Caenorhabditis elegans: one gene and its partner. The protein of the gene in region 2 interacts with the protein of the main gene of each other region in a pairwise test. Each region holds a gene or a part of one and is shown on either strand. Other genes may lie near its edges.

Region 1 (8,801 bases), on a different chromosome or scaffold from region 2:
TGTGAAAGCAACGATTGCGGACGTAATTCCAGCCATTGCAGATATCAGTTTCTCTTTAATAGTGTAAGTCATAAATTTTTATTTTTTAAAAATAAGTTTCTCAGCATAGTCCGTATATTTAAGTAACCGTATAGTATTGTTACACTTTAAAAAATATTTCGAATCGTCAATTTTCCAGCACCACGAGTAAACAAACAGTCGTTGACGCTGTGAGCACGATCTTCAATCAACTTCTTCTTCCATTCGTCGAGCAATCAGATATACATCGCTTCGCTTTGTTCCTTCATCCTCTTCGTCATGGCTCTGATCTCCTTGCATCAGCCGACTGGATGAAAATCAAAACTGATTTATCCAGTCATTTATGTTGGTTTTACTACTTTTAAATTTTATATTTAAAATAATATTTCAGCTCTCCGTGAAGCAGCTGAAGCCACTCTTGCACATCCATCGTCATTCGACAATACGATAACTGCAGATGTAAGGAAAAATTATTTGAAGGCGCACGAATTCATTCTGATGGGTCTCGTCGCGCAAAAAAGTTTATGGTATTTTTCTTTAATTTTTGTGACTGCTTCCTCGTTTATTTTCCTTACGGTTATTATGTAGTTTCTAGCGATTTTTGCCGTTTTTATTTTTCTGTTAAACATGGTTTTAAATATGATTTTCTAACCTTTTGTCGGCCGGAAAAATGTAGAAAACTGATTTAAAACAATGTTCAACAGAAAATTTGAAAAACCACAAAATTTGCCAGAAATGAAGTAATTTCCTTGAGAAACGAGAAGGTGACCGGAAATATAAAAAAAAACTTCGAGACCTATCTGTATAAATCTTCGCTTTTTTAGGAAGGCATGTCAACATTTCTAGAAATCACGATATTCATTCCTATGGTATATATTTTTACAGAAAGAGGTCAATGCGTTCTCACAGTATGTGTGCAGAGTTACTGGTGTTGAAACTGGAATCATGGATTGGTGGGCTCGTCACGCCGGTCGCTTCCCTCGTCTGTACAAATATGCCAGAGAGCTTTTCATAATTCCAGCGTTTTCGATTGATGCCGCTTATTATCTCGGGTTAGGAAATTTTATTCGCTTAATTTCAATACAGTTGACATTTACAGAGAGTACGGTATCCTTACACATTCGATCAACGAATCAGATATCTCAAAAAGGAAAATGCTACTTCGTGCAGCGAGTGAATTAGTTGAATATCGGTAATTTTAATTCTTAGATCTCCAAAACTCATTATTATTTTATAGCTCGAAGGGATCTTTGATGTGCAAACCAATTTGCGTAAAGCGAAGAAAAGACGCCAATTCTCCTGAAGATGCTTGGTATCATGCAATCGATGTGAGAGCTCTACAGATTGTAGATGTACCATCAGACGAGCCTCCAAAACGAATGATTCCTCAACGAACGCCATTTGTGTATCAGAATCCAAACCCACTTCCACCGCATCGAATTCTACAATCGTTTCCCACAATTCGAACAAACAGAGAAGCACCACATGGAAGAAGTCTGAAAGATGAAATTGCAAAAATCGCTGCGAATAGACAGAAGATTCAGAGAGTGTACACTGTTGCTTCATCATCGCCGTACGCGAGGCCTGTTGTCGTTAAAACCGAATCCAAAGAGGGCATTGTTGAACAACTGACTCCATCGGCTCCTCCACCGAAGAGGTACTACGCAGTACGACCTGCGGCAGGCAATGGAACAAGTGTGATTCGCGGAAAAGATGGTCAAGTATTACGAGTTATCAGAAATACCCCTTCGTGAGCTGATCAATTAAAAAAAGAAAATATTCGATTTTTGAAATATCGAAAAAAAATGTTTCAGAAAATATTTTTTTTAAATCAATGTTTACGTTGATGAGAAAGCATAATAAAACATGAATATTTTCTAAAAAGCAGTGAAATTATTAAGAATTTTGAGCTATTTTTTGAAAAATCAAAAAAAAATTTCGAAATATCAGAAAATTGAAAGTTTTCGATTTTTCAAAAATTAAACAATTTTTGGTTTTTAATTTTAGTGAGAAATCAAACAACCGACATCCTTGTATCAAAGGTGTCGCCATAAAATGTTCGATTTTCCGGTATTTCTCATAGAAAATAGAAAAAGTTGTTCGGTTGTTTTTTTTTGGAAATAAAATTTTATTCAAAAAAAATACGAGGAAAGTATGTATAGATTTATCTCTCAAATCAGAGAAATGACATTATTCATAAAAATGAAATGTTTTCCAAAAGATCGAAAAACAAAATGTTCGATTTTTTAAAATAAAATTACATCCTTTCTGCTGATACCATTATTAACCTAAATTAAATATATTCAACTTTTCAGAGTCTCCTTCAACTTAAACACTCCTCTGACTGCATCGAAAAAGATGTATTTCATTCGTACAAAAACTGGTGTTACCCATCAGCTACATCAACCTCCACAATAATCCCAGCTCATACATCTGTACCTCAATTCACTTTAGTTATTTGTCACTAGTTGGTATTTTCATTGTTTTGTTTTTGTTATGCTACTTGTTTCGATATATCCGCATGTTGTTTCAAATTGACTATGCTAACGTTTTCTTTTCTCATCGACCAGTTTACTTCCCTGTTCTGTTTAATAGTTCTCAATCATGTTATTTTTCTCAATTTTTCTGAAGAGTATCTTATCATTTCTTTTTTTCTGTATTCCCAACTCACCTTGACATTTCTGAATTGTTGACCCAGCAAGAAACTTTGCATACCCTCTGACTGGTATTTCATATTTTTGGGAGAAAAAAAACGTTTCGAAAATTTGTGAATTATTATGTGAAAAAAAAAAAAAAAAAATTATCCTATCGCGTTTTCCTTTCTGCATCTAAGTCTCCAATGAGTCAGCACAAACACATTGCGAAACATTTTCTGTCTCTTTGGTATAAATAGAGAGTTTCCTCTCTTTGAAATGATTTGAAGGTTTTACTGATATCAACGTTATGAAATTTAGTCATCTCGTCGCGTTTCTTTTCGAAAAGTTTTGAATATTCAACTTTACGTTTTTTAGTTTTGGAAATTTCAGTGTGTTATTTCAGTTTATATAATGTTTCTGAATTTATTACAACACAAAATTATGAAAATGCGTAATGCGCTATCTGACTATCTGACGCGCAAAATATCTCGTAGCGAAGGCTACAGTAACTCTTTAAATAACTACAGTAGCTGTGGTGTCGGTTTACGGGCTCGACTTTTGAAACGTATTTATTCTCGAATAGTGATAAATAGCGATACTCTATTTTTCTTCGTTTCTTCGTATTATTTTCTCATTTTTGCTTAATATGATAAATTATATCTACATGATAAGTCAAAATGATCCCGTAAATCGACACAGGCGCTACAGTAGTCCTTTAAAGAATTACTGTAGTTTTCACTACGAGATATATTGCGCGTCAAATATGACATTAATAATATTTACAAAATACAGATGTTTTTTAAAAATATCTTTGTCTTTAGACAACTACTGCTATAATCTCTCATGCGTATATCGTATATTCGTTGAAATTTTAAAATTCAGTTTAAAGGCGCACACTATTTTTCTGTGTAGGTCTCGCCACGATCTCAGCTATAGTGATCGCTACAAGCTTCAAATTTCATGCATTGGTTCATTTAATGTAGAAATGTACGACCAGTTAGAAAAATACCAAACCAATATGTTGAATAAATTAACTTCAAGCCAGATTTTCTACAGTAAACATTAAGATTGTATCACCGTCCGTAAATCTATATATTCTTAGAAATGCAGCGATATTAATGATTAACAACAATTCGTGATATATACTTTCGTTATTTTAGAATTCCTAATATTTGAAAATACACACCTCTTAAAAAGAGTCATTTTCAGAAATGACCACCAACCCATCTGTCCACGAGTTCGAGACTCGTGATCTTAAAATTGCCGAGGTGAAAGTATTCACTGATAGAGCTGAAATCCGTCGTCTTGTCAAAGTTTCATTGAAATCTGGTGTCAATGAAGTTGTTCTCAAGGTTTGTAGAATATGAACAAGTTTTTCAAGTAGTTTTGAATTTAGAACCTCTGCAAAACAATGGCTCAAGGATCAATTAGAGTTGAAGGAAGAGGAAATGCAATCATTCATGATGTAGTTATTAAGAATGTTTCTCGTTTGCCAACTGAAGCTGATCCTCCAAAGGTTGGCAAGATAATTAAAATTCGAAAATATATTCTTTTTTTTAAGATCACCAATCTCAAAGCTGCCATTCTAGAGGAGAAAAATCGCCTCCAAAAAATCACAGATCGCGGAACGGTTGTCCAAAAATGCGTTGACAATTTGGACAAAGTTTTCGAACAAGTTGGTGGGGGTCTCGTGAATCCACCAAAAGATGGTGTTGCTTCTTTAAATGAAGGAACTTTGGAAAGTCTTACAAATTTCTTCCAATTCTATGGGAGCAACTCCGAATTATACAGAGAAAGTGAGTTTAAACGATAAATTTGAGATTTTAAAAAACTTAATTTTTTTTTCTAGAACTACGATCAGTTGAAGCTGGACACCGTGAGCAACAGGAAAAAGTTTCGAAACTGGAAAACGAGTTACGAGCTCTAATGCACAATTTGAATGAAGAAGCGTTCTCTCAGTGAGTTTTTGAAAAGTTTAAGGTGGAATTGTGCCAGTCGGGGAATTTACCAAAATATACTAAAAATGGGGCAAAAACAACTTTATATGTCTTTTCAAATCTTTCTTAATCTTAACTCAAACTTTTGGCAACATACCAAATTTTGAATCATTTAAAAAATTTGAAAAACTATCAAAAAACCCATAAAAATTTGAGGCGCACAATGAGCTATGCTTTGCTTTCTATGCACTATTTATTTTCAAATACAAATGGGATTACAGATAGATTTGAAGATATGCAAAAAAGCATCCAACCCTAATAAAAATTCGAAATATTATAAAGAAAAGTTCCATATGATTTTCCATCTATTTCTAGAAACAATTTATTTTTTGAGTCTTATTGTTTGACATTGTTAAGCTGTAGTATTTAAGATCACTGTTTGCCTATCTTCCCAACAAATTGATAACTTAATTTTAGCACTGCCACAATTACTTTGGAATGCACAGAAGACCTGGAAGCTGAGCTGAATGTAGTCTATCAAGTGTTAGATGCTTCGTGGCATCCATCATACGATATCCGAGTTGACACAGAGAAACCATCCATGAGCATTACATACTTTGGAAAAATCCGTCAATTCACAAAGGAAGATTGGACTTCTGCACCACTTGTTTTGTCAACTGCTCAGCCATGTCTTGCTGGCAGAATTCCAGATCTTGGAACTCTCGAAGCAACCTTCCGTCGTCCTGAAGTTCAACATTATCAAACAAGATCGATGAATGCATCAGCCTCATTATTTGGGGCGCGGGGACCGCAGAACCGTCGAGCCGAAACACTCGGATTTTCAGATGAAGTGACTTTGGCTCCACCAATGGCTGTCGCTGTTGCTTCAGAAATCACCCAAAACACGTTGAGCACAGAATTTAAAATTCTCAGAGAAGCAACAATTCCACACGGTACTGATGAACACAAAGTTACTATTGGAGTTGTGACTCTTACACCAAAACTTGTTCATGAATCCGTTCCAAGTAAGAATGCTGCAGCTTTTCTCACGGCTTCTGCTGTTAATACTTCTCAACTTGCACTCCTGGCTGGATTTTCATCTGTCTATCTGAATAATGCATTTGTCGCAACAGTAAGATTTTTTTGTTGAGAAAATTGATTTAAAACAAATTAAGTTGCTGAAATAACCAAATTTTAATAGTAAGAATTCTTCTATCGATTCAATCTTGTTTCACTCTGAACATACAAGAATGATCTGAATCTTTCAACAAAAAAAAAGAAAATTTCAAAACTTGGAAATTTGTCAAAACTCAACTAGAAGTCATTAAACCTCTAAAACATTGTATAATGAATGATATATGAAAATATTTAGTCTCATTGAATCAGTTTGAGTATATTTTAATAAAATCCAACTTTTAGAGTCACCTGAAAAACGTGTCACCAGGTGAAAGACTCACTTGCTCTTTGGGAGTTGACACGGCAATTCGTGTGGAGTACAAGCCGGCAAAGAAGTACCATGAGGAAGGAGGTTACATCACCAAGCACTCTGCAAATGTCACGGAGCAAACAATCTCCATCAAAAATACGAGAAATGAGCAGCCGGTGCTCCTAACCGTGAAGCATGCGATTCCACGTAGCACTGACGAGAAGATCCGTGTGAAGCTAGTTTCACCAGCAGCTACGCCATATGATGCGGAGAAGGCTGGCACTGAAGCCGAGAATTCTGAGCCTGTGGAAGGGGCAAAGTTCAATTCCAGCAATCACTTGGAGTGGACTATAAAGCTGGCTCCGAGCAGCTCAAAGGATCTGATCATCAAATATGTGGTGGAGCATCCAAAAGATGAAACTGTTCAATATCAAGAGAATTTCTAAAGTACATCCAACAGTGAATTGATACTTAAATGAAGTCGTCTATCTTTTACAGAAATTTTTGTTTTACAATTTTCCCATTTCCGTTTTATCGGTTTTCATTTTTTTAATGTTTTTTTTGCACTTTCTTCACCTCTAGTTATAATATGCCCATCGAATAATCTACGCTTATAGATGGCATCAATTTACGAACTTGACATTCGAAATCAGGAAATCAGTGGAATTACAATTCTCAGTGACCGAGCTGAAGTGAAACGACGGGTACCAGTTAATTTGAAAGCGGGAGTTAGTGAGATTTGTTTAAAAGTGAGTTTCTTTTTTTGAAAATCATTTTATTGAAATTCCAACACTTTAAATCTCAACTTTTGAATAATTTACATACAAAGACTAATATAAAACTCATTTTGTGTAGATTATCTTTCTGAAAAAGTTGTATATAAAAAATTATAGTAAAAATGAGCCAAATAAAATAAATATTAAAAAGAACATTTAAACATTATTTTGAAATTGTTTTTGAAACCTTTTGAAATGCTGGTAATTTGCAAAAATTTTGACTTTTTGGTGTATCAAAATGGTTACGCGGAGAACTAATAATAGTTTTGCAATAAAAATCTAAAAGTTCATAAAATAGATTGAGTTATATTATGGGATTTCTATAATTATTTTTTTTTTAATTATTATTTTCAAATCTTTAAAATCGCTATCAAAATATTTTCACGGCGTACCGTACCTAAAAATTCTTCGCGTTTAAGACCATTAGCCATTGTCGGGGAGTTTTCAAATGTTGCCAAGAAAGTTAGAGCTCAGCAGCATCTTTGCAACTTCATTGAAACTTACAACTGTTAGTAACTTATTTTGTAAGTTAACATTGAATTCCTACAATATATAAACTAATGAAATGTTTATTTAAAACTCCAAATTTTCAGAACTTCTCTGTATTTTTCCAAAGTGATTCTATTAGAGTTGAAGGTCGTGGGAAAGCAACAGTTTGTGATGTGAACGCTAAAAAACTCCCTTCTTTAAACTCAGAAACTGACTCCCCGAAGGTAAGTAAAAAAAAATCCCTGTTACATAGATTTTTGAAGCTACTTATGTATTTTAGATTGCCGAGTTGCGAAGTGAGCTTGACAAATACAATGCAATACGTAATAATCAAGAGGATCAGAGAGATATATTGAAAAAGAAAATAGGTGGATTAGAACGGACAGTAGGAAGAATTGGAAAAGGAATAATGAATCCTAAAAGAGAATCCGGAAGTGTTGTTATTGATGAGAACCTGCTGACAGGACTTCAGAAATTGTTAGATTTTCAAGAAACTGAAATGAATAAATTGAATGAACAGTTGCGGGAGAAAGAGCATGAGATCCTCAAAACAATTGAAATGGCGAGTAAGATTGGAAATGAGTTAAATCGCTTAGTGAATAGCGGAATTTCCAATATGTCTCAGTAAGTTTAAATATAACTTTATGTATCAAAACGTTCAATAGGACAGTTTGAAAAACGCTGAAATATTTATATTTCTACTTTGTTTAGTGCCTACAACTTACCAGAAAAATTTTTTAGGACGTGACAGTATCAAAATGTTTGTTGAAACTCAGGAAGTCTAATTTTCAGCACGGTCTTCATTACACTTGAAGCTTTCGAAGATGGCGACGTTGAATTGGATATAACTTATCAGGTTTTTCAAGCTGGGTGGCAGCCGTCTTATGATATTCGCGTGGATACTGAGAAACCAACAATGGCTATTACATATTTCGGAAAGATCTATAACCATTGTGGAGAAGACTGGAACGAATTTCCAGCTGTTTTGTCGACTGCTCAACCTAGTCTCGGAGGACAGATTCCTGAACTAGGTGTTCTCGATGCTCACTTCTACAGACCTGCACTAAAGATGAGGCGACAACGTGGCCTGAGAATAATGAATAGAAGAGGTGGGCCTCGTATGTTGTCCAATTATTCCAACGAGATTGATGATGGTGTAGAAGAAGTACTTCAAACAATGGCTCCACCTCCAATGGAAGTCACAAAGAACACTTTGAGTACAGAGTTTAGAATCGCACGGAAAGCGACTATTTTAAACGGTGTAGACGATCATAAAGTGACTATCGGCACTATTGAACTGATACCATCACTTTTACATCAAAGTGTTCCATCCAAAAATGCATCAGCGTTGTTGACAGCTTCAGCAGTCAATACTTCTGTACTGCCACTTTTGAGTGGTGAAACTTCAATCTTTTTGAACAATGCTTTTGTTGCAAAGGTGAACGATTGTATCAAATTTTCATAGTTTTCTCTCAAAAATATAATAGTGTAGGATCCCGTTAAACAGATGCTTTCCAAA
Region 2 (7,718 bases):
AAGCTCACTAAATTTGATGGTTTCTTCAAAACTATGCTCACAAGTGATATTCCGGTAACTTTCAATTTTATTTTTTATTTAATTTTCCAACTTTTAAAATTTTCCTAATTTTTCTGAGAGATTCTGGAACTTTCTGGAACTTTCTGGAACTTTCTAGAATGTTCTGAAACATTCTGGAACGTTTTGTAAGTTTCTACAACTTTCGAAATCTTTCTCAAAGCTTCTGGAATTTTCTAGAACTTCCTGCAACTTCAGAGATGTTCCATTCTAGGTCTCAATCGACGAATCCGGGTGCATTTTTGTGGATCGGTCCCCGAAAAATTTCAGCCTGATTCTAAAATATCTGAAAGAAGGTGATGACGTGGAACTTCCAAAGTTTGAACGAGAACTGCAAGAAGTGAGAAGAGAAGCCGAATTTTACCTTTTAGACGGTCTAGTCGACCTATGTGATTCTTTTCTTAAAATTCGGTCATATGAAACTTCGGAGGAGCTTCTTCATATTATTGCAAACTGCAAAAAGGTATAGATGACGTCATTGAGTGGGCAGGGCTTTAGAGGCCACGCCCCTTTTGTAAGCTGGGCCTCCGTAGTTCATGTGACGAAATTAACTTTGGAAAATTTTTTTGTAATTTTCTGAAATTTTTCAGCAATTTCAATAACTTTTATAAATTTTTCTAAAATGGTCTAGAACTTTCTAGAACTTTCCGGAACTTTCTAAATGTTTAAAAAATTTTATAGAATTTTCAGAAAAAATTTCAGAAATGTTCTGGGGCTCATTGAAACTTTCTGACAGTTTTCAGCTGATTTTGTAATTTTTATGAAATGTTCTGGCACTTTCTGAAACTTTCTGAATGTTCATAACTTATTATAGAATTTTCTTTAAAAAATTTTTTAAAATTATTTTTAGGCACGCCCATTTGTGGGCGGAGCTTAATAAGCCACACCCAATTGTTCTCTTCTAGACTTTAAAATGTTTAGCACGAAATTCAAAAATCAAGTTCCTTGAAATATTTTGGAGCACATAAGAGGCGTGGTTTAACAAGCTCCGCCCACTAAAGAGGCGGGACGGGATTGGCTCCGCCCACTAAATGGGCGGGCGGGGTGAGCTCCGCCCACTGAGTGGGCGGGGGTTATAAGATAACGTCAAAATTTGTTCGCAGTTTTGATTCCCAACAAAATTTTTGACCAAGAAAGGGGCAGGGCTTGATAAGCTCCTCCCACAAAATGATCATAGCCGAAAATTTTGGCGCTTCATTCAAATTTTCGAAATATTTTTTTTTTCAGACAGCAATTCTTGTGATCAGCTATACAGTTCACAATGATCACCTCTGGAACTCTCCAGAATCCTTCAATTTTCAATATGTTCTCGAAAATCCAAAGTTGGATGTCTATTTCAGTGAGTTTTTGACCTGATTGGTCGAAAAGTGGGCGTGGCCGGGCGCTGATTGGTCGAATAATTTACAAGTGATTTTCAGAACAATGTGAATGCGAAGATGAATCTGATAAATCTCGGCGTGAAGATGGAGTCAATAAAGGTCACCAATCATGGATTTATCGGCTGTACTCTCCGATTAAAGGATTTAAAACATTTACAAATTTTGATAAATTGGAGAAATATATTAATGGGAGGCTGTGAAAATCGGGAATTTATGAATAAAATGTTGATCACTTCTAGACGCCGCCGTACCTTTTTGAGAAGTTTTCGAGAATTTTCATTATAAAACAAATGTAAAAAATTTGATAAATGCATTTGAAATATTAAATAATATGTGGGTATTCATTCTCCGTTCAAAATACTATCGATTTTCTTCTGTAGATCATCCATAGCTGTTAAATCAACGCAACCTGAATGCGTACTGTTGTAGATGCGATAACTCCAAACTGGTTCAGGGTAATATTTCATTCCGCGATGTCTCCTTAAATCTTTTGGCAGAGGTTCTCGATTATCCATTGGTTCTGCAAAATAATTTTAAGTAATTTGTTACAAATACGCTAAATAAATTAATCAGACATGTTTCAACAAATTGCGATGAAAAAACATTTTTAGGTCAATTTTTTTCCAAAAATTTTTTAATCTAATTTTTATAAAATTTTAAAAAATAAGTCAATTGTGTCATTTTCTATATTAAAATCAAAAATAAAAATTACGGTTGTCACTGTGAATTTCTAAAAATTGAAGTAAACTTTGCGTTTTTCAGTTGAAAACAGTAGTTTTATTTATGCAAACTGTTATATCTCTAAGAAAACATATGGCACTTTTTAAAAAAAATTACCAAAAATATCTCTGTAAATTTAACTTTCAGAAAATATATTTGACATTTTTGTAGCTAATCAGGTTCTAAAGTTATGCTAGTTTTCGCCAAAGAGACACATTTACAGGCCGGTGTAGTATCCTCAAAACTTACAATTTTCGGAATTTTAATGATTTTTTTAAAATTTTCCGAAAACGAAAAAAATCCAAAAAACTCACGAAAATAGATTTCTACCACTGAACTGTTTTTCTTAACAAACTCATCGAATCGAAATCCTTCTGGGATGTATATGATATCGTTATTATGGGTTATGTAGTTAATCACAACTACTGGCTGAAAATGATATCAAAATGATATTAAAATAGCATATATTTATATATATATATATATATATATATATATATATATATATATATATATATATATATATATATATATATATATATAACTGAAACTGAAATATATACATATATATATATACATATGGGAAAATAAATAACACCTACCTTCTTGGTGCTGGCGATGATTTGCAGCAATTCATGAGACGAGCGATAAGTTCGGATTTGATTATTTATAGGTTCACACAAGTCTACCAACTGCTCCAACAAGTAGAATTCGGCTTCTTTTTTCAGTTCTTGTAGTTCTTTTTCAGAGTCTGGAAGTACTGTAACACCGGATCTCATGTAGTTTAGCACAGTTTCAAAGTACTTTGGAGAGCGATCAATGAAATAACAATCGGAAGTGTCCTTTTTAACCTGAATTTGAAAAATTTGACTTTTTTGTTATATCTGGAGAACGGGCCACAAATGATTTCACTAAGAATATATAGGCTTACAAACCGGCCTGGACTGGACTTAGACTTGATTTTTGGACATGATTTCCTAGTTGGCGAAAAAAGAAACAAACTAACCGGAATATTCGTCTCGACTAATGTTTTGAAAAATCCATCCTGCTTGGTCAGTGTCGATTTCCACGTCTCGAATACAGATCCGCCGACATTCAACTTGACAATTGTCTCAGAAGAGCACATATTGAGTAGTCACAAAGAATGAATACCTTGTGTTACAGAAGATTCCTTCTGTTGCTTTTTATCGATTTTTTTGACGACCTGCTCATCGCATTCCTCTGAGCACCTCGGGAAAGGTGACCTCAGTTTTCCCAAAATTGTGTGAAAAATTATTTAATTATTTATTCCGTTACAAGGAAATATGTAGATATAGCTCACAATCAACGAAATATTAAAAAAAAACCTATGAATTTTAAACCACATACTAAAAACTAAAAATCGTCTCCTCATATATCCATCTTCGAGATTTCCTCTCCCAACTACACACTCCTCTCCTCAGCACCATATTGTCGGGCACCATCTCGCTAAACGCAACCTCTTCAGAGTAATAGGCCAAGCAAGCCACGTAGATCAAGGGAATCGATAAGATATTGATGATCGGAAGGATAAATCGGGTTACATCGCGAATCTCATAGGCTTCCTCCTGATCTGCCCAGGGGACCAGGCTGATGAAGCAACGGCCTATGTAATAGGCCTCGGTTAAGGCCATGAAAATAATTATGAATAGCTTCTGAGCAGTTGTTGCCTTGGCTCTTTTCAGTAGAGTGTAGTGCGTGGGCGTGAATGGCTCATTGAATTGATCCAACATTATTATATGTAGGTAATACTCGATAGCAACGATTACGACGCAGACGAGTAACTGAAAATTTTGAAATTGACGTAATTTAAGTATCCGATAAGCTACAGAAATTTTGAATACACTTTCTGAAAGTGAAACATTTGGGCATACTTTTGGTAATTTTTCAAAAAAAAATTGCAAATTTGGCTCTGAGATATTATAGTTTGAATTTGTAAAACTATAGTTTTCAACTGAAAATATTATAATTTTATTCAAAATTTTCAAAATTCTCAGTTGATGAATAACTCATTTCACAAAATTCCATAAAATCACGTGGTGTCAGAATGTCCCATTTCGTTATGATCTACCAGAAATGCGGGAATTTAGACGCAGATTTTTCAAGTGGTTTCGCATGGTTAAGAACGTGCTGACGTCACACTTTTTGGGGAAAATTTTCCCGCATTTTTGTAGACCAAACAGCACCACGAGAAAATTAGAACACATTTTTTTTAAGAACATTGTCAGAAATTTGTTTTTAGTCAAAACATTCTGAATTATTTAGATTAACTACAATAACGTGCTAGATTATTTGAAAACCCAGAAAAAGATCAAATAAATTCAATACTAAAATTTGGCTGACCGCGACGCGACCGCACCGCACCACTAAAAATTTCAAAAGTTACCGAAAATAATCAACATGAGATTCAAGTTTCAGAAAAATAACGGACAACTCAAAAATCAAGTTTTTAGAGTTTGAATCTCAATGCTAACGTTAATTGAAAAGTCTGACCGCGACGCGACCGCGCCGCATCACTAAATTATTTCAAAGTTCTTTGAAAATAGTCGTTACGGGTTTCAAATTTCAGAAAAATTGACGGAAAACTCAAAAATCGAGTTTTTAAAGTTTGAATCTCAATGCTAAAGTTAGTTGTAAAATCCGACCGCAACGCAACCGCAACGCAACCGCAACGCAACCGCAACGCAACCGCACCTTAACGCGACCGCAACGCGTCCGCACCGCACCATTCAAAAATGTGCTCAAACCGTGCCAGATTATTTTTAAAAAGCAGAAAGTGTAAAATCTTGATTAAATTGAAGTTTTATCGAAAACTATATGCACAACTTGTCTGAAATTTCACCGGAATAGGTTTTCGACTATGCTCTTTCCGAAAATAAATTTTAAATTTTCCTTGAATTTTCCTCGGCTTCAGATTATAAGGTTACCGGTAAACAACAACTCACATTTGCCCATTCGCTGTACATTCTGATGGGAACATATACGGAGATTAGAAATGTCTTGAAAATCACCGCAGTCGCCATTTTATACTGGTTTGTTGTTTTTTTTTAAACGACCGAATATCATAATCTCACTGAGAATTTAAAAGTATTGAAGTAAATTTTGCGTTTTTCAGTTGAAAACAGTAGTTTTGCATATTCAAACTGTTCCAACTCAACGAAAAAGTATTTTTTTTTTCTTATGAAAAAACTTAAAACATGATCTTAAGTTTTACTTTCAGAAAATTTATTCAAAGTTTGCGTAGCTGATTAGTTTCTGAAGTTACGTAAGTTTTTTCACCAAATTCAAATGAAAACAAGTGTTCATTTTGTGAAACGTTAGGTTCACAGTGATTTCAAATTTTTATCCGATTATTCTCACAACTTGATTCATCACAAACATTCATTTTTCTCGAATTTTAATCAATATTTTGCGGCAGTCGAAAAGCGCTTTAAATTATTGTATGTAACTGATAGGAAGAATTGATGATAAGAAATTACTCTTTCCATTCATTGCAGTGTCTTAAACATAGGTTTGCAGGTGAACGAGTTTCATCTGCTCATGCTCATTTTTTTTTCAATACTTTTGAAAATATTTTTTACTAAATATTTTACAATAAAAATACTCTTCACATTTTAAATGAATGATGCAGTTACTAATTAAAATTAAATGTAGGAATATAAATCACAAATACCCTTTACTGTAATACTAAAATTAGTATGCCGGTTCTGTAACAAAAAACTTTAATGCAAAACTAAAAGGGTCAGGCTCTCTATCAATAAACAGAAAACTCTTTACAACTTTGAGTATTATAGAAAAAATTGAAATGTTTGAACCTTCAGCCACATATTTCATTTGTACAACTGATAAGAATTCCTCCTTACGCGTATTTGCAGATTATTTTCTTTAAATGGCAGAGAATGGGCGGTGATGACGGAATTTAAATGTGAATAAATTTTTTTAATGATTTTTTTATCAATTTTGAAATCAAATTAAAAATTAAAATAATTTGATAATTTTTTTTTGTGAATACCCGCGCAAATGAGTGATTAGATTTTCCTGATTTTTCAGACATTTTATTTCCTTTGAAACAATAATAATTCAGGTGAAATTATCTATTTTTATGAATTTCTTTCAAGTTATCAAGTTTTCTTCGCGGAAAAATAATATCGAAGATAATTTTTTTAAGCAATGCATTTAGCCAGAAAACAAAACAAAGTACGTTACCCATTTGCATGGGAAATCAAAAATAATTATCTTATTTTTTAAATGTTTTCAAAGTTTCAAACAATCATTAAAAATTTAGAAACATTTTTTAATTTTTACTGTTACATTCGGAATTTTTCGTGTTTAAAGGTGGAGTAGCGCCAGTGGGGAAATTGTTGAAACCACTCCTTTGGTCCCAAAATGACCAAATATCTTGATAAAACTTTTCAAAAAATTTTTGAAAATTTTTTATTTACTGTCAAAAAGTGGCAACTCATAATTTTGGAAGTCGACCAAAAAAAAAAAGTTTTTTCTACATTTTTTATGTTTTAATTTTGTTTAAATTATTTGTATTAAAACATTGTAGGGGTCGAAACATGCGACATAGCTTTAGATATCCTAAAAAACCCGTATTTTTCAAAATTTTGGCAATTTGCCAAAACTTTGACCGGAAATTATGAAAAATCTAAAATTTTTTGGAGTGTTTTATTATGATATTCGGTTGTTTTGGATCATTATAAGTACATTTAGACAAAATCCCCACTGGCGCTACTCCACCTTTAATATGATCATCATAAAAAGTTTTATGACTGTGCAAATCAAAATTGGGTAATTTTCAGAAAAATGTCTTCATATGCGAAATCTTTTGTGTTGTTACACACATTCAAAAATATATCTTCATTGAAAGAAAACGAGAACCGCTATAGTAATGTTGAAAGACGTTACAATACTCCATGGTTAGTGGATACTTGTCAAAATAATTTCTCCAAAATTTAATTTTAATTTTTAGGAAGCTCGGCATTTCTAGAAAAAATGGAATGCTTGCTGTTTACCTATATTGTAATAAAGAATTCTACATGCACAGAAAATGGTCAATTCAAACGAAATACACTATGAAGCTAGTAGCTGTCAGTGGAAAATATGTCCAACGGACTATGAATACAAACTATGAATTCCAAAACCCCACAGGAAATGGATTTCCTGAACTCATCAGTTGGGAGAATATGCAAAGGGATTATGTAAATGATGACAGTATTCTGATTGAAGCTCATGCCAATATTATTAACATGACAGGTATGTTGAAGCAATTCTGGAGCTTTTGATTAGTTTAGTTATTCTTGGGGTACCTCTGGAGTGTTAATTATATTTCCCACTCTTTTGATTTTTAGTTCAATTAATTAAATTTAGACACTCCGACCTGGCAACCTAACATAGGAAAATCATTTGTTCTAAAACATACTTTCGGAAATATATCGAGATTTGTGCGCGGAGAGCAGGTTTATAGTGATATAGAAGAGCATTACAATATACCATGGTTTGTTGTTTTCAGTGTTACATCAACGCGATTTAAATAATAAT

The links. The genes of interacting proteins can lie anywhere in the genome.
Region 1: the proteins of C40A11.7 (region 2) and ZK1055.7 interact in a two-hybrid assay, tested with the Caenorhabditis elegans proteins (one large-scale study listed by BioGRID).

Annotation. Positions count from the first base shown.
Region 1 is NC_003283.11:6,600,438-6,609,238, reverse strand, and holds ZK1055.7 (Protein F37C4.5), read left to right. Parts: upstream 1-3,863; 5' UTR 3,864-3,865; coding exon 3,866-4,006; intron 4,007-4,050; coding exon 4,051-4,170; intron 4,171-4,215; coding exon 4,216-4,450; intron 4,451-4,503; coding exon 4,504-4,612; intron 4,613-5,068; coding exon 5,069-5,723; intron 5,724-6,010; coding exon 6,011-6,463; 3' UTR 6,464-6,503; downstream 6,504-8,801. Other genes in the region: gon-14 (HAT C-terminal dimerization domain-containing protein), read left to right, coding at 1-63, 179-363, 410-477, 904-1,070, 1,118-1,210, 1,256-1,768, 2,334-2,436; ZK1055.6 (Protein F37C4.5), read left to right, coding at 6,635-6,766, 7,387-7,506, 7,563-7,906, 8,075-8,720.
Region 2 is NC_003280.10:2,147,029-2,154,746, forward strand, and holds C40A11.7 (BTB domain-containing protein), read right to left. Parts: upstream 3,524-7,718; intron 3,401-3,523; 5' UTR 3,283-3,400; coding exon 3,163-3,282; intron 3,008-3,162; coding exon 2,759-3,007; intron 2,586-2,758; coding exon 2,471-2,585; intron 1,957-2,470; coding exon 1,778-1,956; 3' UTR 1,704-1,777; downstream 1-1,703. Other genes in the region: C40A11.2 (BTB domain-containing protein), read left to right, coding at 1-54, 272-520, 1,285-1,396, 1,476-1,636; C40A11.8 (G protein-coupled receptor), read right to left, coding at 3,524-3,907; math-18 (MATH domain-containing protein), read left to right, coding at 6,984-7,096, 7,150-7,433, 7,548-7,674.